2 linked regions of the Pelodiscus sinensis genome follow. The protein of the gene in region 1 interacts with the protein of each later gene in a biochemical or structural test. Links are inferred from orthologs where the notes say so. Each region holds a gene or a part of one and is shown in the gene's direction. Other genes may lie near its edges.

The links.
Region 2: the proteins of RNF114 (region 1) and XAF1 form a complex in vitro, tested with the Homo sapiens proteins (2 studies listed by BioGRID). The link is inferred for Pelodiscus sinensis from reciprocal best matches to the Homo sapiens genes RNF114 and XAF1.

Annotation. Positions count from the first base shown.
Region 1 is NC_134728.1:19,610,654-19,626,654, reverse strand, and holds the start of RNF114 (E3 ubiquitin-protein ligase RNF114), read left to right. Parts: upstream 1-8,124; 5' UTR 8,125-8,227; coding exon 8,228-8,346; intron 8,347-9,589; coding exon of another isoform or gene 9,590-9,705; intron 9,706-9,932; coding exon 9,933-10,083; intron 10,084-13,960; coding exon 13,961-14,067; intron 14,068-14,720; coding exon 14,721-14,835; intron 14,836-16,001. UniProt on the Homo sapiens protein: E3 ubiquitin-protein ligase that promotes the ubiquitination of various substrates. In turn, participates in the regulation of many biological processes including cell cycle, apoptosis, osteoclastogenesis as well as innate or adaptive immunity.
Region 2 is NC_134731.1:14,575,759-14,590,895, forward strand, and holds the start of XAF1 (XIAP-associated factor 1), read left to right. Parts: upstream 1-6,927; 5' UTR 6,928-6,980; intron 6,981-12,718; coding exon of another isoform or gene 12,719-13,064; intron 13,065-13,259; coding exon of another isoform or gene 13,260-13,873; intron 13,874-15,137. Other genes in the region: Na(+)/citrate cotransporter, read right to left, coding at 2,164-2,292, 6,823-6,927; uncharacterized protein LOC142819268, read left to right, coding at 12,719-13,064, 13,260-13,873. UniProt on the Homo sapiens protein: Seems to function as a negative regulator of members of the IAP (inhibitor of apoptosis protein) family. Inhibits anti-caspase activity of BIRC4. Induces cleavage and inactivation of BIRC4 independent of caspase activation.

The DNA of each region.
Region 1 (16,001 bases):
CCAGCGAGGCAACCGCATGCTCCTGGCTCCAATAAAAGCGAAACAGTGGCAGCCACCACGGGCAGCAAATCAGTTTAGGCGGAGGAAGTGACGTACTACTGAGGTCCGTAGTCATTGCGCATGCGCTTCTTTGGGGACGTCACTTCACGTGTGATGTCATAGAGAAGGATTTAAAGGGCTAGAGTATCTTCCTCAGGTTTTTTTTTCTTTACCTGGCCTCTTACCATAAGGGCTCTTCCTATAGACCTGCAAGGCCACCTGTAGCTTGACTACTCCTGTCCAGCAAGGGCCCAGGCTGTAAGTGGCCTGCTGGATAAAACTGGGCTTTTCACAACAGGGCAGCTCTGGCAGCAGGTGCTGATAGTCCTGGGATGTGCCTGGTTGCACCAGCCCTGCTTGAATGAGAGTCCCAGGTACTTCATCTAGAGCCCCGGTGTCTAACACACTATCCACATGTGGCTATTTGGCTGGTTGAGTGTGACTAGTTGGCTGGAACAATGTGGCTATTTGACTGGCCGAGTGTGACCAGTTTGCTATAAGAACTGGTTGGACACCACAGAGCTAGAGCCTTGTTAGGTGAGGGAGAAGATGGATCAGCTTTTCTGGCACTAGCTAAGGGCTTGTCTGCCCTATAAAATTAAGTCAACTTTATGCTGATGTACAGCCATAACTGTAATTAAAATGATGTTTCACATCGCACTATGCTCCTTCGTCAGTGGTGTGCATCCCTACCAGGAGTACTTCCAATGAGTAAAGTGGGGCATTGTGGGAGCACTGCCAGCTGGAGATCCCACTCACCCACTGTAGAGGTAGCAGGCAGAGCAATCGGTCTGGTGTGGAGCTCACAGCTGGAGTTGGTAGATGCCCTCAATACTGCAGCCAGCCTGCAAGTGCCCAGTTGGAGCCAGGATTATGGAGGCTGACAAACTCTTCACACCACAGTGGCAGCAGCCCTGGAAACCTCATCTGCAGGTGAGATTTTTGGTACTGCTAGGCTCCCAGCTCCAGGACATTCTTGTAAGTTACATGGGGACTCCTATTTCACATTTTGACTCTTGCTCCCTGCTCTGCCCCATAATGGGGAGGGGAGGTGCGCTCCAGCTATCAGCCTACACGGGATGGACAGCCAATGTGATGTAAACAACATAGTGTCTACACGGATATTGCATCATATCTATATCTACCTAAATTGAGCTTTTCATGGAGGTAGAATTATTAAGTTGGTGTAGTAGACAATTTAAATCAGTGGGAGCAAAATGGTAATATAGAAACTTACAGAATTAGGTTGATGTAAGCTGCTTTACATTAACCTAACTGTGTAGTGTACACCAGGCCTCAGTGACTGATAAACTCCTTTGCAACCAATGCCTCGGAACAGGACAAAGCTGCCACCCCACAGAATCCATCTTGAAAAATAAATGCTGTTTCCGATCCTGACCTGGCCACCCACCTGCAAATGATTTAACTGTCAGAAAATGATCAGAAATGGAAAAAACACTGTTTTCAAGTTTTGACCTGCTTTAGTGTTTACTTCATCACCTTTGTTCCACAGAGAGCCAGAGAAGAGGATGAGCTTTAGTCAGTCTGATTCCAAAATTTCTAATGCATTACCAATGTGATGTATTCAAACAGCATCATTCAGAACCCCAAACCATGAGACTTGCAAACAAGAGTTGGGCGTGCATAATTTATTTTTATTTTTATTTTTGAGCTTAAAAGCTCATAAAGGTTCACATTTTCCACGTTTTTCTAAAACTTTGAGCTAGAAACACGCTTTTAAATGAAAATTGAAATGTTCATGCAGTTACAAGAACACAGGAACTGAGGCCTAAGGAAAAAAACATTAAATATTGTAAGATTTGTGATAAAACAACAAGAGTTGGCAACATAGCATGGACTATTTCTTGGGACACGCATAGCAATCCAGCAGAACCTCTAAAAAACAATCACATGTGGGGAGGCAACAGGATGCTGCACTAAAGTGGGAGGAAGGAAAGCTTTGACAGGGTCATTGGGTCACTAGTCCTGCTTATTCTTGGGATTAAATGGGATTTTGAAATGTGCGAAAGAGTCACAGCCTTGGTCTTACATCTCATTTGAAAGATATTAAGGTCAATTCCAGCAGCTCAATTTCCTCACTTTCTAGAGGAGAAATGTGTTACATCATAATTACAGCAAAAAAAAAAATCCTTTAAAATAATGCAGAATGTGGCTACTCATTCACAACAATGAAATCTATTGACAAATCATGAGACAATTATTTTATAAATTGCTTTGAAAGCCACAGAATAACAACAGCATTATCCTTTTCTAAAAAGGTCAATATTTCTTATATAGCCAGAACAGCCATGATGATAAATGAAGAGGAAAATAGCATGACGGTTTGTTACTAGAAAACACCCAAATCATATGCTAGTAATAACATAATGATTAAAATGTGGACAACCTGCATCCTTGAGGCTATGTCAAAAACCAGGCAGATTCTGCCTGCTCACGGTTACTTACATTCTGTTGCTTTAGCTATTTTTTAAAGTATTTGTTTGTTTTTAGTAACAGGATCATTTACCTTTTGTTCCACTTAAGATCAGTCTGAAACTAACAAACTCCATTTCCTTTACATTCTGCTTGAAGGGAGCTGATTTTACCTCAAGCCTGGCTTGTTGTTCTAACAATGTTTAGGTTCTAAGGCTGCTGGTGATAAGTGCTAATGTGTTTTACAGCTGACTAGAAGCTGATTGTTTTCCAAGACCAACTCTGAATGTCAAAAGCATAGTTGTTCTTTCTCTGCATCTTCAGTGCATTATGTTCCATGTATGGCAGGTGACTCCATCTGACAAAGCACTCAGTGAATTCAGTTTCAGGAGGCCTGTATCACTTGCAGGCAGAAGCAAAGCGTTAGCAAAGTCTAAACTATAAGACAGAGTGTCAGGCACCATATGATAAGGGCTTAAATCTGACCCATTAAAGCCTTTACAAATGAGTCCTTATTTTGCAGCTGGTTCCGAATTTAAACTCAGGATTAAACCTACCCGTGGATATGCATGTGCAGTTAATATGCATGTTGTGAGCACAGTTCTGAGAAAAGAACAGAGACCTTCTGTCACTGGCAGTGTATCCATAGCTTTGATTTTCTAATTCTGCTAGTTAAGTGACAAGGCACTTGGCACATGAATGGAAACATTTGGCTTCACATATACAGTATGTTTTCCTCTTGTATTTTTCCTTCTGCCTTCCTGATTTGCATTTCACACTACTCTCCTCTCTAACTTCCTCCCCACCAAAAGTTAATTGTGAAGCATTCAAAGTTTTACTTAAATCCTGCAGAGTAGGACAGTGGGTTAGGACAATATCTGCAAACTGCTCCATACATAAATTGCCACCATCCTTGTTAGGAAAGGATGCTTTTTTTATTTTTTTAAAGAAAAGATTGATCATTATTCCATTCAGTCACTCATAGATTTTAAGGCAGGGGTGGGCAAATACCTGAGCCTCCACAGGTACTGGCGATCGCAGCTCCCATTGTCCACAGATTACTGTTCCCAACCAATGGGAGCTGCAGGAAGCAGTGTCCTAGTCTGCACCACTTCCTGCCACTCCCACTGGCTGGGAACGGCCATCCGCGGGCAGCAGGAGGTGCGATTGCCGGTATCTGTGGAGGCGCAGGTAGATATAGCAGCAGCAGCCTGCCAAGGGCTAACCCTGGCAACCACCACTGTTTTATTGCTCACACCTCCTTTAAGGCTAGGAAGGACCATCATGATCATTTAATCTGACCTCCATCATGCTGCAGGCCTCAGAATCTCACCCACCCACTCCTGTAATCGATCCCAACCTCTGACTGGGTTACTGAAGTCCTCAAATCATGATTTAAAGACTTCAAGTTACAGAGAGTTTACAGTACATTAGTTTAAACTTGCAAGTGATCTGTGCCCTGTGCTGTAGAGAAAGAGAAAAAACCCATCATCTTTGCTACTCTGACCTGGGGGGAAATTCCTTCCTGACCCAAAATATGGCAGTCTTGTTAGATCCTTAGCCTATAGGCAACACCCACCAGCCAGACACATGGGAAAGAATTATCTGTAGTAACTCAAAATCCTCCTTATCTCGTGTCTCATCACAGGCCATTGGAGATATTTCCTGCAGTTGCAGATCAGCTACATGCCATTGTAGACCGTCTCATTGTACCATCCCCTCTCCCCATAAACATCAAGCTCAGTCTTGAAGCCAGTTAGGTTTTTTTGCTCCCCTTGAAGGCTTTTCCAGAACTTTACTCCTCTGAAAAGTCCTCCTTAACACAAAAGAGTTACTGTACCGGATCAGACAATCTGTTTCTTAAAAACTTGATCCTGTATCTCTCAGCTGAAATGCTGCATATGGAAGTGTAATGAGTACTCAGGGGAACCCAGTTCTGCACTAAGGATAGTGATTCTGCATGGCTGACAAGTAACTTCCTAATAGCAAAATTAAAGCTCAAAGGTCATTTGACAAAATATTTCATGAGAGTGGTAAAGATGCTATTTGAGATCTTCAGATGTGCTCATTCTTCCCCAGCATTGCTTCTTTTTACCCTGCACTGTGGCAATGGGGTAGACATGCAAGCGGCTTGATGCTTATTACTTGCTCATTCCACAGGGCTACACTTGGGGCTTGATTCAAAGCCCATTCCAGTCAATGGGTGTCTTTTCATTGGCAGCCCGCCTTTCCTTCATGGCCCGCCTTTCCAGAGACCATCTGTACACGCTCATGCTCCACACACTGCATTTCCTCACCCTCGTGTCCCGCTCCGATACCAAATGGCAGGATTATTTAAGATCAGTTGAAGGTAAGGAATCCCGACGGACCAGTGTTTATTCCACCTTAATCCCACATCCCATTGAGGACATCAGCTGGCAGCTCCTCCATGGAGCCATGAGCATGGGTGCATACCTGGCACAGTTCACCCCCGTCCCAGACGCCTGCCCCTTCTGCGGCGTGAGGGGAAACCTGGTGCATGAATATCTGGAATGCACCAGGTTGCAGCCCCTTTTCCAGCTCTTCCAGAACCTATTGCTGAGGGTCTGGCTGCACTTTTCCCCTCACCTTTTTATTTATGCGCACCCCATCCATGGCCCCACAAAGTCACAAGACCTCCTTGCCAACCTCCTCTGGCTCTGGCAAAAGCCGCAATATATAATACCAGGGGGAGAATGCTGGATGAGGGGGTGCTCTGCAACTGTGGGGCCTACTTCCGTTCCACCCTTGTGTCACATATCTAGGCAGAGTTCCTCTAGGCAGTGTCCGCTGGCTCCATAAACAGCTTTGAGGAGCAGTGTCCCCATCCGGTTCCCTCATTTTAAACCTTTGACCCGCACCACTTGACCCTGTTTTTCATCATTTGTCCCTCGTATTTAGTTGAGCCCTGGGCCCAGTTGTCCCTCCTGCAAGGCTGGGGGAGGGGCTTTTAGAAGTGGGTGGGCTGGCACCCGCCTACCCCGTTGGGTTCAAATAGTGACTTCACTGGGCTTACAGTCTGGCTCTCAGAGCTTAGTACTTGCACCCACACATAGCTGCTGCTCACACTTAACTGCAGTGCAGCAGCCTTATGTTCCCTTTTGTGCAGTGAAAAAGGATTTACAGGATGAAATTGTAACTCATAAGGTGATAGACAAATAATGCCCAATGCCTGCCATTTCAGAGGAAGATGAAACTCACCAATAACACAACTTAGTCAGTATATGACATGACAGGGTGTGTCCTGCACTGAAGAATTTAAACTATGAAGCATAAGACTCAGCATTCCTATTTTAGCATTGCTATATATTTCTGTCCGTATTTTCTAGCTTGTATTAAAGTCAAGATTCTGTTTCAGTCTTTGATCTCCTCCTGCTGCAGTTGGCTGTCCACGGGAGAAAGCATTGTTTTAAATTTACATCCCCAGTGTATTGTCATCTGTTTACCTCCCTATATTACAGGATGATGGTATGAAGAGATGGGGCTGAACTCCTTTCACTGAACCAGTCATATTGTGAACTATTTAAACTAAAGCCCCTTCTTCTGCACCGTTTCCCTCCACTTAATATAGCAACCCCGATACAATTAAAGACTATATGTGCAACCCCAGTTTCTAACCATCTCCAGTGTCTATCTCTTGTGTGTCATTTACACATTTCTAGTACAGGCTGTTTCAGCAGAGATGTGTTCTCATAATAATTATAATAATTTTACATGTATATAGTACCTCAGTCCTAATTATTAATTAGTATTATTAATCATATATATGACAGTAATATTTAAAGATCAATCAATAATGGGGCAAGGCACTGTATAAATACAGTGTAATGAATGGTCCCTGGCAGTGTGGAATTTACAATGGAAATAGATCAGACAGACACAGGATGGGAGAAGGGGTAGACCACACAAGTTGGTTGAAAAATATGAGGGCAACAAACACTTAAGGGCCACCTTTTTTGGAGAGTGTGGAGTGCGGATGGAAAGGAAAGTGCAGAGCGACAGGGCCGGGGAGAAGATGGTAAGAGGGTAGGGTTGCCAGGTGTTTAGTTTTGAATCAGACAGTCCAGTATTTGAGCTTTCTGTTCAGGAAACAAATTGAGAAAATATAAATGTCCAGTATTTTCTAAATAAGATGTAATGTAGATTGTGATGTAACGTCAAGTGTGTCTGGTATTTTTGTTGAAACCATCTGGCAACCCTATAAGGGGGCAGGGGCGGTGTAAAGCAGAGGTGAACAGACTGTGAGGGAGAGGATTACAGCAAGGAGACAATCTCCACAAGGCAGAGAAAGGCCACTCAAAACAAAGAAGTTAAATGTCTAAGGTCTCTGCTTTGGCTGCTGGCTAGAGTCTACATGGCTCCATCCTCTCTGCAGTTACTTTTCCACCAAAGGTCACATGGGAGGGAAGGCACCACTTAAGTCCTAGTGCTGCCATAGTAAGTAGGGACGTACCAAATTCACAGCCATGAAAAATGTATCATGAACAGTGAAATCTGGTCTCCTGCTGTGAAATTTGGTCTTTTGTCTGCTTTTACCCTCTACTATAAAGTTTTCACCAGGGAGAGCAGTGTTTCTCAATTGGGAGTTCTGACTCAAAAGGGAGTTGTGGGAGAGAAGTTGTATGGTTATTTTACCAGGGTTGTGGTATTTTCACCCTTACTTCTGTGCTGCCTTCAGAGCACCTCACTCTGAAAGCAGCACCCCGCCAGCAGCAGCACAGAAGTAAGGGTGGCAGTTCATACCATGCCATCCTTGCACTGCCACCCTCAGAGCTGGACAAGCTGGAGAGTAGCAACTACTGAGGGCTTCAGTTCTGCAGGCAGTGTTGCAGAACCAAGGGTGGCAACACCATTTTGTGACATCCTTACTCCTGCACTGCTGCTGATGGTGGCTCTGCTTTTTCAGAGCTGGGCTCTTAGCACTGTAGCTGCCATGCTAACGGCAGCGCCACTGCCAACAGCAGTGCACAAGTAAACGTAGTAGCACCGCAACTTTGTGATCTCCCCCCAACTCCTTTATGAGCCAAGACCTCTACAATTACAACACCACGAAATTTCAGATTTAAATTGCTGAAATCATGAAAATTGCAATTTTTAACATCTCGGACCATGGGGCTGAACAAAATGGACAGTGAATTTATAATCAACACTGCATGAGCTGTACACACATTGCATTATTGAAGGTGGAAGGTGTAGCCAAAGGCACATATCACTCCATATATGGCAGAGGCAAGGAGGGAGCAAATTTTAGCAACTCCATCAGTGGCTGGTTGCATCTATGCCATGTTGTAGCCCTTTTCTCTCCTGCCTGGCCATGCACTTGCCTGCCTGTGCCCATGCACGGTGACTTCCCTGCCCAAATGTTCCTTAGCTGAGTCACTTCCCGCCCAGTTTTGTCCCCTGGCCACTCCACTTGCCCACTATATCCTGAGTGGCTCTGGCTCTGCTCAGGCTCCTCCCTGCCTATTTCCTTACCGAGCTCTCGCCCCACCCACCTGCCCTGCGCAGTACGGCCCCTGGCCAGCTGTGGGTGGAGCTGAAGAAACTCGATCCGTCCTGGGGCGTGTCCGAGCCGCGAGGGGGCGTGGCCAGAAGCCGTTGCTGTCTTGCGCGTGCGGATTAGGCCGCCGCCCTGTGGCCCACTCGGAGTGGGCGTGGCGGAGAACTAGCCCCTTTGGGCCGCCGTCGCGGCGCCCGGGCTGCTTTGCGGAAGTGCGGGGCGAGCGGCCGGTGGAAGATGGCGGGGGTAGAGAGCGGCTCCCGGTACCCGGCGCTCCAGGACCCGCTGTCTCGCTTCACCTGCCCCGTCTGCTTGGAGGTGTTCGAGAGCCCGATGCGGGCCCCCTGCGGCCATGTGTGAGCGGACCCCTCGGGGAGGGCCGAGCGCGGGACGGGAGGGTTCCGTGATATCGGGGCTGGGGCGGATCCCTGAGGCGGGGGGGGCCCCTCTGAGCGCGCGAGAGGGCGGGGGGCACGACTGGTGGGGCCTAGGCGCGGGCACTTGGAGGCGCCAGGACGGAGTTGTCACTAGTGCACGGTTCCCGTGTGGGCCCCCGCCACACACCCCCCCCCCCCCCAGCCTGGGGAGCGGGCCTGAGCCCTTGCGAAGAAATGGGTCTGCTGATGCTGTAGGATTCCCGAGAAACGCTCCCCCGCTACCTGTTAATCCTCCTCCTGGAGCCCGTTAGCCCCATTGGGGCTCAAAGCCACAGGCCATTTCGTTGCGGGGGGAGCTTTTCCTGAGCAAGCCCTGAAAGATTGGGCCCTAGAGGGATCACTTTTGAGCACCTGGTAGAAAATCCGACTGTTCAAATGGATAGCAGTGAGTGCCGGGATTTCCCATGGCTAGAAAAGGGTGGAGTCCCAGCCGGTCGATTCTGGGAAACTGTACCAGAGAGGGAATAGAAAGCGAACCAATTTAATTGACGGCAGCATGTGCTGGTGAAGGAGAAGTGTGGAATGGGCTAAGGAAGAAGCTTGGCCTTTTTTATTTTCAGGTATATGGGCTCATCTGCAGTGCAGTGGTGTGAGTGTTATGGAAACACTAGATAAAATGTGGGTGATTTGAGCTGTGGATAGAAGGGCTGAGAGTGGGACACCGACAAGATGGGTGGGGTAGACAGCTTTCTTACAAAATGAGCTCTCTGTTTGGCTGTGACTAAAGTGAAACTTAAGTACAGTTCTGTCTCTGCTGGGACAAGATGCCCTCCTTTCCTGTAAAATTCACAGGAGAGGCTTCTAAGAGGAAATAAGCCCTAAGGTTAGACCTGCCTTATGTTAATCACACTGCTTTCCTTTTCTACAGTACAATGTTGCTGTCGCAATAGTCCATTAAAATGGTCTAGTTAATGTTTTCTAACATGACATTTTTCTCAGGTGAAATGTACCATTGAAAGAGCAATGTACATCGCCTTCAAGTTCTTGGGTGGAGGGGGGGCCTAAAGAAAAGGGTTTTGCAGAGCAAGCTAAGGCCCCCTTCTTTCTCTTTATGCATCTAGGGAGAATAGTTGGGTGACTTTTACAGGTTATATTTCAGATTACTAAAAATGAAAAATGAAAAGAATATTTTTTCAGTTTGTTTATTTTGTGTGTTTGACAGCACTTTGGTTAGCTTCTCTATGTAATCATTGGGTTTTGCTGTTTGTGTGGATTTTTCTATTGGAAACAGTGAAGAGAAACTTTGAAAAGAGGAAATGTAGCATAAACCACAAATTGGTAAGAGCATTCGGGGACAGGGACATGACTTGAAACTGTTTTTAAATTGACTAGATTTACAGTGACTTGGCTGTCCTTTAGTATAACACACGTATCAACAGATTATTTGTCAGTGGGTGTTGTCACTTGGGACTTTTTTCTTTTAGAGTAGGTCTCTATTTTAATGGGAACAATACACGTATATTCTACAACATGCATTTTTACAAATCGTATTTCTCCCATATTAGCTTTTGCACTCCATGCCTGCAGGAATGTCTGAAGCCTATTAAGCCAGTCTGTGGAGTCTGCCGCAGTTCCCTCTCTCCTGGCAGTAGAGATTTGGACCTGGAAAAGCAAATTGAAATGACAGAAACCACTTGTGATGGCTGCAATAAAAAAGTATGAAAGAACAAAAAAGGAAGTACATATATAGTTAAAATAGGCAAACAGCTTACATGGAAATGCACTATTTTGCACATCAGCTTTCTAGGGAATAAACAATCAGAACTTTAGTTTTGATAAATAATTTGCACGGACTGCATATAGGGCAGGGGTGGGCAATATGCGGCCTGCAGGCTGGATCTGGAGTGCCAAACCACCAGACTTGGCCCTCAGCTGCCTCGCTGGGACCCTTAGGCACAGAGCAGCTCATGCCACTTTAAATGGCTGGCTGCTCTGGACACTGGTGAGGAAGGATAGAGGCTTCTCCTGCTAGTCCATCACCCAGCAAAATCTCTCAACTGCCTTTGGCCAGTTTTCGGCCAACAGAAGCTGAGAAATTTTGCTGGGAGCAGGGGCAACATGTGAACCCTCCCCATGCTGGAGTAGAGCCACATGGAGCATCCAGGTGTTTTGACCAGCTTGGGACAGCAGCAGACAGCCTGCCTCCAGTTTCTGCAGGGCTGCTGTTTGGGAGCCACCTAGGTAAGAGCCTCTCAGCCAGAATCTGCCTCTGGCATCCCATCCCCTCTTTTTCCCCCACAACTACCTGTCCTAGGCCACCACTTCCTCCTGCCATAGGGTCACCAGCTTAACCCTCTATAGCCCCCTCTCCCCAACTGTCCAGGTCACAACTCCCTCCCAGGCCATTGTACCCCCTCTTAAACCCTTTCCCCAGGCCAGAATCCTCTCCTGCACCCATACCCCCTCTCAGACCATGCATCCAAGCTTCTGCCCCATATCATAACCCTGTCTCACACCTCAACCTCCTACCCCAAACTCCCTTCTGCATCCAAATTCTGACTCAGACTCCACATTTCCTTCTATAATAAAAGCGCAGCCTTTGATCACTTACCAAATTCTTGGAGTTCGCACTTCCCACCCCATTAAAAATTATTGCCCCCACATGATATAGGGTAATGATACCCTTTCCCCTGTTGCTGCTGTTTTTTCATTAATAGGTAGATTTCAGGTACAAATACACAGTTCACATGAAGCTGATGATGCAGTAGGTACTGAGTTACATCTATTTCTTCAGGAATAAGTTCTGTAAATACAGAACATAGTGAAAACTCTCTTAATAAACCAATCTGCTAGTCTCTTAATAGAAATAATTTTCTAATAAAGGTATATTATAATCTGTTAAAAGTTATGTTTGTATCTTAAGACAAAGCTGTCTACAGGTAGTGTTTTCTATAGACGTGAAATTCACAAGAAGATTGTGTATGCAATATCCTTTAATCAATTTTATTTCTGATGGTAGGGAAATAATGGAATTGCTAGTCCTTCATGTATACAGTGCAGTTCAGGAATTATTGGATACCTGGCAGAATTGTTGCTTTAGTTTGGACATATGCCTGGAAGTTCCATCACATGACAGAATATTTAATAGAGATTAACCTTTAATTCCTGACAATTCCAGGGCAATCCTGGAGGATTGACAACTGTAACAGCAGGTGATAAGTGCCATAAAAATAAAAAGCACTAATCAGCTCTTGTTACTTTGTTATATGGCACATAGTGTGAAACTTCTACAGTTAATATAGTCCTGTATCTAAATATTAAGATTAATCTTAGATTTGCCTTAAGGAAATTATCATTTAAAGCTATTTAAGGGGCATTGTCGTGTAAAACATATTGTCATGTAAAATTATCGTTACTAAATGCCCCCTCCCTGTTAAATAACGCGCACTTTTTTTTGTTTCTCATTTTTATGCTCTGCTTTTTGTATTTAATGTAGCTTGAGAGAGCATAACAACTCAATGAGTTTCACTTTTGTTTCTGGTTGGTTTCATTTTTGTTCCTTGATGTTAGATTAGATCCTACTAACACCTGAGTCATTCATTCTCTCTCTCACTCTCTCTCTCTCTCTCTCTCTCTCTCTGGCCTTATGTTCTACTATCTATTAAATATTTTGAAGAGTTTTTTGTTTGTGGATTTGTTTGTGCAAAATAAGGTCATACTTCATGATTACCTACAGATACCAAATTTGTATAAACAATCCTGCCACTTAAATTAGCTGAATGCAGTGCTTTTTACACCAGAATATGCTGGATGTAAATCGGTGTTTCTCAAAGCGATCTGCAGACCCACTTTGAGAGAGATTCTACCAGGCCATTCTGGTTTGTTTACTTACCAGCTCCGCAGTCACGCTCCCATTGGCTGTGGTTCGCTGTTTGCTGCCAAGGGGGAACTGTGAAACTCCGTGCCTGTGGCCCAGTAGCAGCTTTCTTAGAGTGGGTCTGCAGACCACTTTGAGCAACACTGTTTTTTCTGATGATAAACAAAAATAATTATTAAAAAGTCATGACTATTATGATTAGAGTTCATAAAAAAAATTAAAATCAAGTTACCTATTCAACTGTCACTTTAATGCAAAGAAAATTTTTACAGTTACAAATCACAGAATAATTCAAATAAGTTTCAGAAAGAGTAATGGAAGCTTTATGAATTTCTGATTCAAATTTACTATGTATGATAATTATTCAATAAAAATGAATAATGTTTGAAGTTGAAATCCTACCAGTTTAAAAATATTATTTTGCTTCCCCTTTGCAAGCATATTAATAAAATTTCTATTACATGTATTTAATTTCTTGATCTTTCCTAAAAGTGTAATCTACACAAAATAACTTTGCCCAGTCAACAAAAAGCTTCACCTGCTAGGAGGGAGGGAGGGAGGGAGAGAGAGAGAGACACACACTGAGACTCCTCTAATCTAATGGTTGGGACTTCTACCTGTGAGGTAGGAGATCCCAGCTCCAGTCCCCATGCGCCAATCACTCATAACAGTAACTTTAACAGGAGAGATTGAGGCAGCCCTATATCAGAATACCCCATAAGTCTGTGCCCTGGCTAATCCTTTGTCCTTCTCTGGCAGAAGGGGGAAGTTACACCTGGGTTTGCCACATGCCAGGCAAGTGTTTTAGCCACAGGGCTAAGTGTTATAAAGCAGGTCTGTCTTTTCCTTGATTATGGGCACGTCTGAGGCTTTAGTGGGAGATGGGTTTTGGACACCTAGAAGAGGACATCTGCCTGCCTGCCCACAAACAGAAACTTAGATGTTAGGGGAACTTTCATTCTGAAAAATGTAGGTGCCTATAGAGGTGTGTAGTTTATGTACTTCAGGAGAGCCAAAACTGGGACTTCAGTGCCTAAACACCTTTGTGGATCCCACCCTTTGTAATATCTTTGACCTTAATTTGATGACACAAGTGATGTGTGCCATTGGTGACAAAACCACACTTAAAACCATTTCCTTATTAGAATTAATAGAGAAGCTTATGGTTTAAACTGGTTATATATGTTAACCAGAACAGCATAACTAGCTAGACTTTGATCACTAAAGTTCTATTTAGGAAAGTACCTTTGTCCTCTGCATTTCTCTGACACTCTTATTCTTCCCTGGTATAATACTCAGTGAGGTATATTTTAGAGTCTGTCACTTGATGAGTAACCTACTTCCACTTGATCCTGTTGTTGCAAGGAATAGTGAAAGGAGGAGCTAGAAAACTGACTTAGTACAAAGCAGATACAGTAGTTTTGTGCATCAAAAGGGAATATATAAAAAGGAGTGAGCTGTGCTAGGCAATATGCAATGTCCATTAACAGAAGAGTGTTATAGCTTCATTAACTTTTAGCTTCTGTTTATAGCTCCTTGTTCTGTTTTGCCACATAGGCCAAAACATTTGGCTTTTCCTACTTCAGTCTTATCTGAACATGAAGCTTCTTCCTATAGCAGTTGGTTTGTAGATTCCACTGTTTGTTTATCATCCTTTTTTGAATTTTTAATTGAAAATAACCTTGCTTGTTAACTCTGCCTCTTTTGCTCACTTAGATGTACCTCTCAAAGATGCGAAGTCATGCAGCTTCTTGTTCAAAATACCAGAATTATATAATGGAGCGTGTTAAAGCTGTAACTAAAGAACCACCTCGAAACACCAGGTGATGATACCTCATGAAACACTCCTTTTTCAGATCCATTAGAGCAGTGTTCTCGGGTAATTAATGTACAAGGCTGAGGTTTAAGATGGAAGTGGTTTTAATTGACTCTGGGGGTAGGGGGAGTTTGTTTTTAAATATTCCAGCTCGCTGCTCCAGTGAGCCAGCAAGTGAAAACGAAAGCAAACAAGAGCATTAGCTCGTCACTTAGTTTGCACAATATTTACTTTAATGCTCTGAGACTGGTGTTAACTAGGCCCTAATCCTGCAATGGAGCATGTAGGCATGCTGCTCCAGTCACTTAAATTGCCCAAGCAGTCTGTTCCAGGAGCAGGCCCTAGGTAAGGAAACTGCTCTATTAATCTGAATCGTACTACAGTATATCTAGCACTTAATTGTGTGCTTTATTAAAGCATTGCAAAATATAACAAAGAAAACAACTTGAGAAATGGTATATTTACTTAGATATAGCTAATATTTGTAGATGCTAGAAAGTAAGTGCTGTAAAATTCTAAATGTATTAAGAATTATGCTGTTTAAGAGGATTTAACTTCTGAGTACTCTGTTTTTTCAATATCCTGCCAACTGACTTTGAATATCCAGAGAGACTCTGCATTTTAATTAACCTTTCTGTGATTTTTTTTTTTTTTTTACAGAAATGTTCCAAATCGTTTTACCTTTCCTTGTCCTTACTGTAGTGAGAAAAATTTTGATCAGGAAGGACTAGTTGAGCATTGCAAAAAGTACCATACCATGGATGCAAAACAAGTGGTAATATATACAGTATTAATCTCAGTGTAACAGTTTTGATGAGGAAATCTGTTTATTTTTTGGTCTTAATGGTAAATCTCTTGGAAACCACAGACTTGGGAACCTTATACACACAAGCATGTACTTGACTTTAAGTACTTGGGTCCTCCTATTGACTCCAGTGGGACTACTTGTGCAATAAAACTAAATATATGCATGTTTGTTTGCAGCATTGGGGTTGAACTGTTAAAAATCTGAACTTAGGTGTGGCATGGTCACAGGTGCACCCATTTTAATTTTTTCAAAATATTACAGCCTCACAATTGAAATAGAACATAGTAGTAATAACTTAATAAAACACAAACAACTGGAATAAAATAACAAGATGGCTAATGTCAAAAACACACTTTTCTGAGGTGGAGTGGAGGAGCCTAAAGAGGACAAATTTCCTTAAAGACATTAAGGTGTCTTAGAATTAACATCAGGTATTTCACTTGCCTGTGCTGCAGCTTACAAAATCTGTTGTGCTTTTTTAAAAAGGCAATCTTAAACTGCCTGCCCCACAGATAATTTAAAATGAGTCATGTATAATGAAGTTTTATCAGTAGAACCTCTCTAAACAAGCCCCTATGTCCTCAGTATTAGAGTAGATCACTAATCTTACAAGTGTAGCAGGAAGCAAAACACAAGCTGCAAAACTTAAAGAAATTCAGCTTTAAGAATTAATAGCTCTTTCCTTTTTGTCCCCAGGGTGGCTTTGGTAACTTTAGGAAAGTTTAGAAAGGAGTATGCTTTTTTCCATGCAGACCTGTATCTTCTACAAGGGGATAATGAGGGTGGACATTTTTTTTTTATTCTTGGAAAAAGAGGTAGGATGAAATATTTCTGCAAAACAAGATACTTTATTCAGTATTCTATCCATAAACAAAGGCAGCTCAAAGTTAGTAGTTCAATTCAGAAACCTAAAAACTGAATCAAAAGAATGCAGTGAGGAACCAAATATCCTAGTGTTAAAATTATTTGGCAGCGTGTTCTAATTTGTTTCCCGCAATGTGAGTGTCTTTTATAAAGGTCATGGTTGTGTTTATAATCTTCACAAGCCTATAAAACTGTTTATCCTTTCATTTATTTTTACAATGATCTTTGTTTTAAGTCAGATTTGAGGGCGGGGGGAAGGAATTGAATTT
Region 2 (15,137 bases), on another chromosome or scaffold:
AATAGGTCACCAGCAGTGATTGAACCTTGCACTCTCAGAATCAACACACAGACTTGTATCACTCAAGTTCAAGTAGTAAGCCCATTAGCTGGCAAAAGTAGTAGGCGGTTATCTTTTATTAGTATCAGCATACTCTTTGGCAGCATGTTACATACATCTGCTGCAATAAAAAGCTCATCCCAAGCATCTGAAACCTCCCAAACATAAGCCCTTGATCAACAATAATTTTTACATGATCCCTTAGCTTTTAGAAATCTGAAGTTGGGTGTTTCAGCACCAAAGCACATTCCTCTACCACTGAAACATTAACTCCACATGTGGCAGCAGTAGTAGGCTGTTCTCCTCTATTTGGACCAGCTACTAAGGAAGAATAAAATCCACACTTCGCTGTCCTTTCTGTATAAACACCATATAGCTTGTTTCATATCTTTCTATGCTTGCACAATTTCTCTGTCAAGTTTCTTTGCTGAGGATTGAGGTTGGTATGTGAAAGAGGTTGAGGTGATGGATGTTAAGGTGTGAGATGCCAGGAACACACCTTTTTCCACTATGAAAAGAACCATTTCCTTACAGAAAGCAGTAGTGCTTGTTCTAAAAAGGCAGTGTGTTCAGAGGATGGCACACTCAGTCCACCCAGGAGGCCTGGGTTCTGATCTAGGTTCTACCAGGGACTGTCTGTGTGACCTTGGGCAAGTCACTTCATCTCTCTGTGCTTTGGTTTCCTCATGCATCTTGCGTGGTTAGCATGTAAGTGGCTCAGATCAAGAACTACCACTTACCTGGTGTTTATACTTCACCTAACACAATTCGGTTACCAGATGGTTTAAAAAAATCACACTTGATTTCAGATTGGGGGGCAGACTGGCCGGGAGGTGGTCAGAGGGGGCCGGGTTGGCTGGGGGAGATGGGGGAGGGGAGAACCAGCCGGCGGGAAGCAGGGCTGGCCGGGAGAGGGTTGGGGAGAGTGGGGCTGGCTGGAGGAGATCAGAGCAGGGGGAACTGGCCAGAAGGAAGCAGGGCTGGCTGGGAGGAGGTTGGGGGGAGCAGGGCTGGCTGGGGGGAACTGACCACTGGGAAGCAGGGCTGGCACAGGGGAGGCAGAGCATCGCTGGCCTGGGAGCATGCAGATCCCAGGGTGCTGTCCATCCCGCGCATGGTCCCGGCGGCGCACATGGGCGAGTCTGGCCCCGGGTATTGCTGCCCCCGTCCTCTCTACTGCATAGCTGCATACTGCCTGGCTGGTAGACACGCTCATGCAGTGTGACTGTGTCTATCAGCCAGGTAGTACTCAACTATGTACTGATACTCATGATAATAATAAAAACTTAATTAGAAAATACCAGACATTTATATTTGTTTCCAGGACAGAAAGTTCAAAACCGGACACCATGCAACCCTAAACACAATGGTTCCCTAAATTTGGGAGGTGCCTCTGGGTGCTATTGTAATATATATATATAATAATAATTTGCAGAAAGCCATCAGATGTATGTGGTACATTTAATCTCAGTGGATCCCAAAGTACTTTTACAAACTACAGACAGAGGAATCCATTCACTCACCACATGGTGCAACCACCTCTAGGGTCCAGCACAGTGGCCACTATTAATAGCACACAGCAACACTGCATGACCATGAAGACTAGCAAGTGAACAAGCACCCTACATCCAGTATATATTGATGGGGAAATGTTGATAGGTAGAATAATAAGGAGTGTGAGGCAATCTCTTTTATTGGACCAACTTCTGATAGTGAGCGAGACAAGCTTTCAAGTCACACAGAAGTTGTCCAATAAAAGAGATTGCCTCATCCACCTTGTTTATCCAGTATGCTAGGACCGACACAGCAGCACAGCATACAACAGCTAGAATGTCATTTTACAAACTTGCTGCCAGGATCTGACCCTTAAAGTCTCACTCCAGTTCAAATCTTGTTGGTAAAACCAGGGCAGAGATGAAACCCAATCAGATCCTTAGCTGAACCAGAACTTAGGGTCAGCAGTGCAAAGCACCCAGGGGATTCTGTTCAGTGTTACAGTCATGATGAAAAGCCACACATCACATATGATAGGCACAGACACACCGGTGCATTGGAGTATGCTTGTCTAATCTGGGCTTCTGATGTTTATGCTTAAATCCAAGCTGACCTAGAATCAGTTCTTACCTTTTTAGACTCCAAAATTCCAAACATAGGAAACAATATAGCAGGCAGGAGAGCTGTGACAGCCAAAGGGATGACTTCTGTGCACCAGTAAACTGCCATGAGGATGATAACATAGGCACACTTGGCCTCCTGGAATACAACAAAGGTTTAAGCACAGGGAATCGAGTGTATGGATGAATACACCACATCTCCCTCTATATCCCAGGATATATAAATGTCAGTTCTCTAGTTCCTTAGGAGAAGGGAAAGAACAACACTCCTACTAGAGAGCTATTTTATTCTCCAAGAAACTATTCTTTGATACACAGCTGGTGCAATCTGATAAATTTTAAAGGCAAAAATATACTCTTCAGAGATGGCATCCTGGCCACATTGAAGTCAGTCAATTTTTGCCACAGACTTCAGTGGTATTAAATACCTGCAACTCTCCATTGGAGTTAACTGGATCTAGGCCCATCTCTACAAGAAGCCAAATCCTGAAAGAGACATTTGATCTTTACAGCTCAACCGGTTACTCAGAAAGGAGCCTAAGTGAACATTCATATCAAAGCTTAAAGCCTCGCCCGGAAAACAATGCATAGGCAAATCTAGGGGCATTGTAAATGCACAAAGGCTTCAGGCTAAAAAGTGTAGTATGCGGGAAAACCAGAATTCCCAGAGAAACTGCTAACCTAAATATTCAGCTGCCAATTGGCATTTGATTCAAGCAGGAGATTCCATGCCTAGTAGCCAAGCTGTTTAGAAGCAATTCATGATTTTCGATGGCTCCTCTTGTGGGTACTCATCTTAAGACACTTAAAAGGAGCCTGATTTTCACAGTACAGATAATGGCTTTCTGAACATCAGGTTACTAAGTAAAAATCTTGACAACTGAGGTACCCCAAATCACTAGCAAACACTTGAAAATCTTGGTGTCATCTTTCTTCTGAGTTGGGGCATCAAACTACCTCACTGCAGTTACCATGTTTTCTTAACACGGGAGTTGTCTGGACTAGAAATGCCTAAATATGTCCCGTGAAACAGTTGTTGAGATTTTTATAACCTAGTGATCCTAGGGTTTGTAAATCGAATCCTCTTAGGGGTAGTAGGTATTCATTAACTCACTGTAAACACTATTTTGGCTCTTAGGTGTAAATGCTCGATAGTTCGCAATTTCCTTTGGTTCATACTAACAGTTTATAGAAGGAGTTGGCAACCTGTAGCCCAAGGGCCTCATGCAGACCATCAAGATTCCACATGCGGCCCGTGAGACATTTTGTTTACCTTTGTCCATGAGCAGAGTCGTCAGATTCTGCTGGTTTCCTTCCACACCGTTTTTTCCTACCAGTATTACTAAAGTGACACACACCTAAAGCAAGTGAAGTGAGGTGCATGCTAACGGAACACATGAAGTGAGGTGCATGCTAACTGAACACATGAAGTGAGGTGCATGCTAATTGAACACAACATTGACTGTGAGAGCCATGTGCTCCCGCTGCATGCAGTCAAAGTACCGCTATGTTTCAATCAGCACACACTGTAAATGCTAGGTACATAAGAGCAGTTAGCAAAACTACCCCATCATCTTGGTTAGGAACGTCTTGCGTCTCACTGAGATGAAGGAGGGCCACTCATGAGGCCCAACCACTAGCCGAGGTTGCCCATCTCTGTTTTACAAGGTCTTAAGAATTCTTTTTATTGGCAAAACAAGCAGGCCATAAAATGATATTTTCAAATGTGCCGTAAGGCTTCATTAGCTACTTCGCTTGTCTGCATTTGCATCCCTAGTCCGAACTAGGGAGCAAATGTAGATGTACTCTTACATGCAGCAGGGTATTACTTATTTTTTGCTGACAAGCTCTTCATATGTATAGAAAATATTATTTTTAAGTAATTAGAAATGTTCATCAGTTTAAGAGGGGTTATTTATTGAACATGCTTTGTAATTCTGCTTAAGCTAGAGTATAGGAAAGATATCAAGGGAAGAGACTTACTTAAAATGTCTATGTCTTTATAACGTGATCTGAGGTCTTGCAGCAATAGCTAAGTGTTAGAATTTACATAATGTGATTGCATTTGGCCACTGTGAAAAACAGAAACAGCTCTGAGAGGCTAAAAGAGTGCACAATACAGTAGAGTACAAACATTGGTTATTTAGAACATGAAGTCAATAATTTACTTAAAGTTCAAAAAGACAACAATGCTTATAAATTAACTCTTACAGACATAGTCAATTCAAGCACAGCTCTGTTCAAAAAACTGAAAAACAAGCACTAAGGTTAGAGAATAGTCATGATTAACACTAACAACTATACAATGTTGATTTTGCTTCTTTGAACAGGAGGCAGAAAACATAACATTCTGTCCTCTCAGAGAGCAGTTGTGAAAGTGATCATTGATGGGAATTCCTGTTAAGCAATCCTGCAGTCTCCTGGAAAAATGACACAATGTTTATGCCTCATGCTCAAAAGGTACAAAAAACCTCACTAGACTCTTATTAAATTGTACATTGCTACTCTTGTACATCACAGCCCTATCACAAGCTTTTGTATCGATCCTACAATATTTGTCATCTAGCTAGTGCTTTCAATGGTTAAACCCCATCTATGAAGTCTCCCACCCTACCTCGGTGCAACTCACAGTCATTTCTCTTTCACAGGAGACTGTCAAGTTGACCAAAAGGCAGGGCTGTTATTAGGCAGGTAAACCAGAAGGGATGGCATTTATTGTTGACAAATAAGCCTGAGGTTTTTCTGAAGTTTAAAATATACCACGCATTTTAGGTCAATCAAAAATGACTAGTTGTAACATTATTTTTAGAGCAGGTCCTACAAACTATGCCAGACCATAATATTTGGTGCAAACATGTGTGGCAGACAGAAAAGATAAAAGGCCTGATCCTGGAGTTCTTACACCAGCTTTGCACTGGCATAGTTCCAATGAAATCAAAATACAACAGTGGACAATTGGTGTGCCCTCGTCCTAAATCATCAGGCACAATGTTTTACTTTTTACCTCATCTTCTCATAGGTAATAATCATGGTGTGCATTTATGCAGCTCAGCATGAGAACATCTCAAAACTTTTCACAAATACCAAATGTCATACCACGCTCATGTTATTCCAGTTTTACAGATGGGAAAACTGAGGCATGGAGGCAGCAACACAGCAAATCAGTGTTAAAACCAGGAGAGGAGGATGCTTCTGACAAAAACCTATGTACATGGGCTGAAACTTGAAACAATGTCTTTGTGGACCAACAAACTTGGTATCTAAGGGTGTTTCTAGACTACAGGATTTTTTCGAAAAAAGTGGCCTTTTTTCAAAAAAACTTCCCCTGCATCTAGATTGCTGTCGCATTCTTTCAAAAGTAAATCAAAATAACGCGGCAGTTTTTTCGACCGCAGAAAACCTTGTTTTACGAGGAAGAACGCCTTTTTTCGAAAGTGCTTTTTTGAAAAAAAGCATTAGGTAATGCAAACTGTGCTTTTTCGAAAGAGACCATCTAGACTGCGTGGGTGCTCTCTTTTGAAAAAGCGGCTTGCTTTTTCAAAAGTACTGGTTGTAGGCTAGATGCTCTTTTTTGATAGAGGCTTTTTCGAAAATATCTTTCAAAAAAGCCTCTTTCGAAAGAGGCTTTCAGTCTAGACATAGCTTAAGCTGTAACACTTATAAGATTAAAACAATGGCAAGTTTTGCGTCTGTGGGGTGATCCACATCCTGGCCCTGAGAGATTTCTTATGACCAGTTTGTATTTGCATCCTTTCTACTTCAGGGGCTCCTGTTGTACTGTTTACTGCCTAAGGTATAGCCTGGGACATACATGCCTTTTTTAAGGGTTACCCTGCAAGTGATCCTACCCTGCAAGTGATTACTAACACTGGGCATCCAAAAAAGTGCTGCAGTTCAGGTAGTAAAGGGTTAAAAACCATCAACACTGATTGAGCCAACTACGAGTTATTGAAACAATTCCCCTCTCTAGACTTCTCCGCAGAAGTCCATGCGGTTACCCTTCATAGTTTAGTATCAGAGGGGTAGCAGTGTTAGTCTGAATCCGCATAAACAAGAAGTCCTGTGGCACCTTTATCTGACTTAAGTGCGTCTTTGCCCAGGAAAGCTTATTCTCCAGTAAATCAGTTAGTCTTGCCACAGGACTTCTCCTTCTTCCTGGTTTAGGGAGAGAAAGGATGCCATCACCAGGGACTTGCAGCTGGCAAACCCTATTGCAGCGAGTTGCCCAGAAGGACTGGTTGGGAGTGCAAGGGGCTCCCTGTTGTTCTCCTCGATGGATGCTGGGCGCTGAGAAATGCAGCTCCAGCCGGGCTGTGGTCCTGGCCAGATCCTCCAAGCCTCTGCCAGCCCCGTGGTGCTTGAGGGTCAGGGGCAAGGACCACGCCTCGCTACGACCCCTGGAGAGCCCCCAGCGCTACGCTGCCTGGCTGCAGGGGGGAGCAAGCAGCAGTGGGCAGGAGAACAGCAGAGACACCAGCATCCCTGGTACCGCTGGTGCAATTAAGAAGGATTGGGAGGGGGGGAGTCCCGCAGGGAAACCAGAGGAAGCGGGACTTCGCTAGCACATAAAAGTGACCTTGGCGGGAGCGCCCCCTCCCGCGCCTAGAGATCCGGGACCCCCGGACACAGGCCCCCCCTCCCAGGGAGAGGAGCCCCCAGAGGCGCGTACCTGGGTGGGGATGAGCAGGGGCAGCGCGAGCAGCAGCAGCGGGGTGCCGAAGAGCACGACGCAGGACTTGAACCGCAGCAGGGGTCTCAGGCACGGCGGGGCCATGGCCCGGGGCGCAGCGAGGGGATCCGAGGCGGCGGCGGCGGCAGCTGCAGCGAGTGAGCGGGACCTGGCGACAGAGGGAGGTTTAAATACACCGGCCCGCCCTGCGCCGCGGCCGCGCCCTGCCGCCCGGGGGAGCCCCGGCATCCCCGCCCCCCGACCCCGGGCCACACACCGCCCCCCTCCTCTGACCCCAGAGCCCCTCACCGCCCCCCCCACCCCAGAGCCCCTCACCGCCCCCCTCCTCTGACCCCAGAGCCCCTCACCGCCCCCCTCCTCTGACCCCAGAGCCCCTCACTGCCCCCCCGCCCCCAGAGCCCCTCACCGCCCCCCCAACCCCAGAGCCCCTCACAGCCCCCCTCCTCTGACCCCAGAGCCCCTCACCGCCCCACCGCCCCCAGAGCCCCTCACCGCCCCTCCCGCCCCAGAGCCCCTCACAGCCCCCCTCCTCTGACCCCAGAGCCCCTCACCGGCCCCCCCGCCCCCAGAGCCCCTCACCGCCCCCCTCCTCTGACCCCAGAGCCCCTCACCACCCCCCCGCCCCCAGAGCCCCTCACCGCCCCCCCAACCCCAGAGCCCCTCACCGCCCCCCTCCTCTGACCCCAGAGCCCCTCACCGCCCCCCCCAACCCCAGAGCCCCTCACCGCCCCCTCCTCTGACCCCCAGGCCACTCACCGCCCCTCCCGACCCCAGAGCCCCTCACCGCTCCCCTCCTCTGACCCCAGAGCTCCTCACAGCCCCTCCTCTTCTTACCCCCGGGCCCCTCACAGCCCCCCCTCCTCTGACCCCAAAGCCCGTCACAGCCCCCTGCCCTGCCCCTCCTCTGACCCCCGGGCCACTCACAGCCCCCCTCCTCTGACCCCAGAGCCCCTCACAGTCCCCTGCCCCGCCCCTCCCCTGACCCCCAGGCCACTCACGGCCCCCCTTCTTATCTCTCCACAGCCCCTCACAGCCCCCCTCCTCTAACCCTGGGGCACCTCACAGCCCCTTGCCCCTCCTCTGACCCCCTCCTTGAGCTGCTGACAGCTCCTCCTCACAGCCTCCCCCCCCCCAGCTACTCACAGCTCCCCTCTCCTCATCTTACCTGCCCCCCAGGCTACTCACAGCCCCCCTCCCGCCTTCTGACCCCCCACTCCCTGAACTACTCACAGCCCCCCCCACATCATTCCTTTTACCCCCTGAGCCTCTTACAGCCCTGATACCCCTCCCTTAATTCTTCCACCCCTTGTCTAGACACCCCTCCCCCCCATGCTCCAGCCCAAGGCCACTCGCAGCCTCCCTCCATCCTTCCTCTAATGCCCCCTCCTCAGCCACTCTCAGCACTCACACATCTTTTCTAAGTGCCCTCCCCTGCCACTGGCACTCACGGCACCTTCAATTCCTCTCCCAGAGCCCCCACCTGGGGCCACTCAAAGCCTCCCTGCCCCTCATCTATCCCCCTCCCAGCCCTGGGCCACTCACAACCTCTCCTGCACCTCATATAACTCCCACCCCCCACCAGGTTAACCCACCCCACCCCTGTGAACCGCTCAGTCCCCCCTGCGCCTCATTTCACCATCCTGAGCCCTGTGGGCCACTCTCTGCTCCCCCAATTGCCCATTGTCTAACCTCCTCCAGCCTTGTGGGCTACTCACAGCCCATTGAGGGGTGGCAGAACTTGGTGTTAAATTCCAACATGGCTCCCAGTTACCTCCTTGCCCCATCCAGCACCTTCCTGTGCCCATGGTAGCCCTTGGTGGTGGGGGGTGTCATGCTCTGGAGTGCCCCCCTTTCCTGCCCTGTGGCAATGCCAATGTGTGCAGAAGGAATCATGCTCAGTCCCCAACCTCCATGTGCCCATGGCAGACCTGGGACCTATCCTGAACCAGCCCCCCACCCTATAATAAGCCCCAGCTCTGACAAACAAACCCATCTCCCTTGCTCTGCCCGGGCAGCCACTAGTCCCAAACTCTTGGTGGATGCATTTCTCAGTCTCTGTAAGTGGGGGTGGGGGAGAGGTGGGATACAGGGAAGAGTTCCAAGCTTGCTTGTTGTGAGCTGCGTTGGCTACTTTTTTACTTGTCAGGGCATTCCAAGTTGCTGGCAGCTTGTTGCTTTCTTTGCAGGGGAAAGGGGGAAGTAAGGGAGGGCAAGAGGTTTAAGAGTGAGGGTCAACGGTCCCAGACGGCACACCAGGGATCCAGTCACACAGAGCATTGGCAAGTTTCAGAGGTGTAGCCGTGTTATTCTATTTCAGCAAAACCAACTAATCCTGTGGCACTTTCCAGACTAACCAATTTATTAGGGCATAAGCTTTTGTGGGCTCCTGCCCTAATAAATTGTCTAGTCTTTTAGGTGCCACAGGACACCTTGTTGATAGAGCACTGAGGTTTGTTTTACGGATCAGCTTATTTTGGCCTTCTAAAACAGGATGAGCTTGGCTTTTTGCTTATTGTGAAAGCCCGGGTGCTCATTGACAGCATGAAAGTTGGCAAGTGGCACTTAAATGTCCCCCAGGAGGAATGATCAAATGCAAGCTAGTACAAAGTATTGATCTTCCTAGCATGGCTCTTCCCAATCCCCTCCCCACCACCCTCCTAGCCCCAGCCTCTCCTCCGGCCCCCCTTTCCAGCCATCCCCATCCTCCCCACCTCCTGCAGCCCCTCTGGCCACCCTTTCCAGCCCTCCCCAGCCTCCTCACCTCCTGCAGCCCCTCTGGCCTCCTTTTCCAGCCCTCCCCACCTCCTGCGGCCCCTCTGGCCACCCTTTCCAGCCCTCCCCATCTCCTGCAGCCAGGCAGCACTCACTCCACCTTCTCCTTTCCTCTGCTCCCTCCTTCCACTTGTCCTGCCCTCCCTCACCTTCCCTACAGGGAAGCTGGTAAGGAAGAGCCAGGGCTCTGTTTACTTCCAAGTGCCCCCTTGTGGATGAACAAGAGAAACTCCCTGTGCAATGGTGCTGTCCTCTTGGCCTCAGGCTACTAGCGAGACAAGGTGTGTGAGTTAATATCTTTTCTTGGACCAACATCGGTCAGAGACAAGCTTTCCAGCTTACACTGGGCTCTTCCTCAGGGCAAAACAACACAACAGCTGGTAGAAGAACAGTTATTAGCTCGCCCATTTTGTTTCAATAACAGAAATTCTATCTCTGTAGTTCCACGATTGCCTGTTGAAAATTCTGGCATGCAGTCTGTCCCCCATGTTCGCTGCCTGCAAAAAGGAGCCATGTGGGGCTCCAAGGAGAAGGAGGCTAAGCTAAGCTCTGACAACATGAGACTTGAAACCATGCAAGCAATAATCATATTCACGGTTATTGCTAGTTGGACTGTTTTTAATAAACAGTGTGTCCCAGCCTGTGTTATCTCTACTCTACCTCTGTGTGCATGTTTTATAGCAGTGTTTCTCAACCAGTGGTACAAGTACCCTTAGGGGTACTTGAGAGAAGTCTGGGGGGTACATCAACACAACTGAAATTTGGAGAAAACTGAATTTTTGTTTTAAGTTTTACAGCGCTTTATTATTTTTGTACTTTTTACACCCAAAAATGTCATTTTTTGGAGACCATGCTACCTCCTGCAAGTGATAATGGTGCTTAAATAGACATATTTCCTGTTTGCATGAGCTCTACTCCAGCATGTGCTGAAACACTGCTATGTTGGGGCCAGATCCGTTTAACTTTGAGGGGAGCTGGGCTCAAGTCAAGACGGAGGGCTATGATCCTCCACTGCTTTGCACCTTGGGTAGTAATTGGCACCTGAGCAAAGTGGGCATAAAATGGACATGAGAGAATGGGGGATTCTGGCCTGGTGGCATTTTCCATGCTCCATTCACAGGTGTTAACAGCAAACTAAGGTGCATTGCTGTAGGGGACAAGGACTTGGGGATCTGATCCTGCAAACCCTGATGCCAGGCCAGTGAAGTCACAGGAATGGTTTGCACAGCTCAGGATAAGGGCTGTGTAGATGATTTAAGTACTACTGGCACATTTTGGCCTCCAGGAACAGTCCCAAAAGGAGATGCTTTCCTCTGATGTGCTTGTTAGCATAATGGATACCTATGCAGGAAATGAGAAGCAGGCCACAGCAGCTTCCTTGCATAATATAAGGAGCCCAGAAAAGATTCCGCAAAGGTGGAGAGGCTGGAAAGGGAGATGAAATCAGCTCATACCTGCACTCATGTGTCCAGGCTCCAGCAGCAGATGAAAGTGCCAGCAGCTCTCAAATAAATAACTACAAATAGGTAACTTGTTATAGAAGCAGTGCTTGTTTCTTGTACCTAAGCAACTAATGCAAACACAGTTAATTGGTCTGTGGCTTCAGTGGAGAGGCAGCAATTGTGCACGCCCAGCAAATACAGACTAAAAAGATATCACCAACAATGCTGCAAGGGATACTTTCTAATGGAGCAGCTGAATCAATACAGGGAAAGTCTTGGTTGAAGAAGCTGCTCCCATGAATTCTTCTGACACTGAATCCTGTGTCTCAGTTTCCCCCTCTACTACAAAAGAGGGATGTTAAGGTGTCATTCAAAGCTGTCATCAACATCAGACACTTGTCATCAACATCACTCAGCTGTCATCAGACACTTTTGTGCCTATATTCCATGAAAAAAGAACAAAAAAATATCCCAAGCAATTGAGACTTAGGCACTTCATTGGTTGGCTAATGGAAAATCAGAGCCGAGAGGTAAAAGACAGGCAAAAGGAGACATATGGATAATGGAACAATCCTCTAGTCTACTGTGGTTTGAATAGAAAATGGAGTCATGTGGGTGATGCGTCTTCCAAAGGAGAAGGAAGGCAAGGAATGTTGGAAACACAAAGTTTCCTGCAGTTTGTCTCAGGCAGTTCCAGAGAGGACAAAATTAAGAAGAGAGGGAACAGAGGGTTCCCTGTGGGGAAAAATAGATGAAGAGGAAAAGGGAGAAAAAGAAGATCTGGTAGAGAGAAATCTAGAGAGATGGAACCACCTGAAAAGCTATGACCTTACCATTGCTCGCTCAGAGTTTTATGAAGGGGCTGAATTGCTGCCTGACCGGATACTGCTGAACTAGACAGTTTAGAACCAAAATCCAGACATTGCTGAATTTGGGGGAAGAGAAGGGACAGCTGTAAAATTCAGACCCAGTCTTCCAAAGGCCAGAACAAAAACACAGATCTGCCTTAATACAATTTTAACTGGCAGATGGTACCAGCTTCACAGTATTGCCAGGAGCCAGCCTCACAGGGTATGTCTACACTACAAGTTAGTTCGAACTAACGTCCGTTAGTTTGAACTAACTTTCCTAGGTGCTACACTAGCGCTCCGTTAGTTCGAACTTAATTCGAACTAACGGAGCGCTTAGTTCAAACTAGGTAAACCTCATTTTACGAGGATTAAGCCTAGTTCGAACTAGCTAGTTCGAATTAAGGGTTGTGTAGACCCTTAATTCGAACTAGTGGGAGGCTAAGGCTTCCCAGGTTTCCCTGGTGGCCACTCTGGCCAACACCAGGGAAACTCTATTGCCCCCCTCCCGGCCCCGGAGCCCTTAAAGGGCCACGGGCTGGCTACACAGTTTGTACCAGTTGCAAGGCTGCCAGCACCCGTGCCTGCACAGCCTGCACCTGCCACAACATGAGCCAGCCATCCGAGGGCTCCCAGCCCTCCACTGCTCCCCAGGACCAGCCTGGCGGCTCCCAGGAGCCTGCCCGGGGGCACAAAAGGCGGGCGCCCGCCTGGTCAAGTGCGGAGATCATGGACCTCATCGAGGTTTGGGGGGAAGCCTCCAATGTCCACGATCTCCGCACTAGCCACTGGAACGCGGCCGTCTACGGCCGCATGGCTGCCAGCCTGGCCGCCAGGGGCCACCAGCGCAGCCGGGAGCAGGTCCGCTGCAAAATTAAGGACTTGCGGCAGTCCTACTCCCGGGCCTGCCTGCCAGGGGCCGACCCGGAGGCCTGCCCCCACTTCCATGCCCTGGACTGCATCCTGGGGCCTCATGCCGTCCCTGCCCCCCGGGACGTGATTGACCCCGGGGCAGAGGGACCGCTCCTGGACACGGAGGAGGAGGAAGAGGGCTCTGAGAGCCAGGAGCCTGCCGCCAGCCTGCCCAGGACCCAGGACCCCCGAGGCACGCCACAGAGCCGCTCGCCTGCGTCGTCTGAGGCCGGGGAGGCGTCCACCTGTGAGTACCCTCGTGTTCCTCTTATGTGTACGGGGGGCTGGGGTGAGAGGGAGCCCCGGGACCGTGCGCCTGGGCCTTGCCCACCATGGAGCAGCAGCTGGGGATCCTGCAAGGGCCCTGGCCTTGCAGAGGGGAGCTGGGTTTCACACACCTGGGCCCCTGGGGTAATTGACCGCTGGTCTTCTTGCACCACAGCCGCAGCACCTGGGACTGCAGGGCACACCACCACGCCTGCAGCAGCCGCCCGCGCCCGGGCAAGCAGGACAGCCAGGAACCAGGAGGACTACCAGAGGCGGCATCTCCGGTTCCTGGATCGACAGCTCCGTCTCCAGGACCACTGGGTCCAGGAGGACCTGAGGCTGCGCCGGAGGAGTCTGGAGGCCCTGGAGGAGCAGGGCCGTGCCCTGCGAGGCCACCTCCAGAGCCTGCTGGACCGCTTCCCATTTCCTCCTCCCCCTGCTCCCCCTTTTGCTCCCCCTCTAGCTCCCCCTCTTGTTCCCCCTGCTCCCCCTGCTCCCGCTTCCGCTCCTGCTTCCTCCACACCCCCTGTCCCTCCTGCCCCCCCCCCACAACCATTTCCCACCGACGTCCCCGGACCCGCAGTGTGGCGAGACGGGAGAGGCAACCAGACTCCCACCCCTGAGCTTTCCTTTCCCTTCCTCCCTTCCCTCCCCTTCCCTTCCAGCTCCCTCGTCCCAGGTTTCCCCCTCCCCTCTCCCACCCTCATTCCTCCCTTCCCGCACCCAGTTATGTTAAATAAACAGACGTTTTTGTTTCAAAAACAGGTGTCTTTATTGTACAGTAGATAGGGAGGGGAAAGGGGAAGGGAGGGGTAGGGTGGAAGAAGGCCCCAGTGGGGCATGCAGGGAGAGGTCAGTCCTCCTCCTCCTCCACCAGGAAGCTCTCCCGCAGGGCTTCCTGGATCCGGACGGCCCCCCGCTGGGCTTCCCGGATGGCGGCGGTGCGGGGCTGACCGTAGTGTCCAGCCATGCGGTCAGCCTCAGCCATCCAGGCTGGCAGGAAAGCCTCCCCCTTTCGCTCACACAAATTGTGGAGCACACAACATGCCGCCACCACGGGAGGGACGTTGTGCTCGGCCAGGTCCAGACGGGTGAGGAGGCATCGAAAGCGGGCTTTCAGTCGCCCGAAGGCCCCCTCCACCACGATGCAGGCCCTGGTCAGCCTGGCATTGAAGACCTGGCGGGAGGGATTGAGGTGCCCCGTGTAGGGCTTCATCAGCCACGGCTGCAGTGGGTAGGCGGCATCCCCCACCAGGCACACGGGCATGTCCACGTCCCCGACCCTGATGTGGCGGTCGGGGAAGAAGGTCCCGGCCTGCAGCCACTGGCACACAGAGGAGTTGCGGTACACCCGTGCGTCGTGTGCTTTGCCGGACCAGCCCACATTAATGTCCGTGAACTGTCCCCGGTGGTCACACACGGCCTGCAGGATCACGGAGAAGTACCCCTTTCTGTTGACGTACTGGGACACCTGGTGTTCCGGGGCACGGATGGGGATGTGCGTCCCGTCGATGGCCCCCCCGCAGTTGGGGAAGCCGAGGGCGCCGAATCCCCGGATGACGGCGTCCGGGTCGGCGAGGCGGACCACCCTGCGGAGCAGCACCCGGTTGATGGCCTTGACCACCTGCGGAGAGAGACACAGCAAAGCGCCAATCAGTGGGGCGCCCGGGTGGCTGGGAGCGTGCGTGCCCTGGCAGTGCCCCGCGCCCCACTCCCGGAAGCAACCCCCCTGGCGGCGTGTAGTACGGCCGGGACAGCCCGACCCCTCCGGTGCGGGGCGCTTTCGCCTCCTCCCGCCCCCTCTTTGTCCCTTGGGCGGCCCATCCCCTCCTCGCAGCCCCCCTTCCCCCCCCCGGCTCGGTGGCCGACGAGTGCCATACCTGCATGAGCACCGCTCCGACGGTGGATCTCCCCATGCCGAACTGGTTCCCGACGGATCGGTAGCTGTCCGGCGTGGAGAGCTTCCAGAGGGCGATGGCCACCCGCTTCTGGAGGGGGATGGCGGGTCTCATGCGAGTGTCCCTTCTTTGCAGGGCAGGGGCGAGCCACTCGC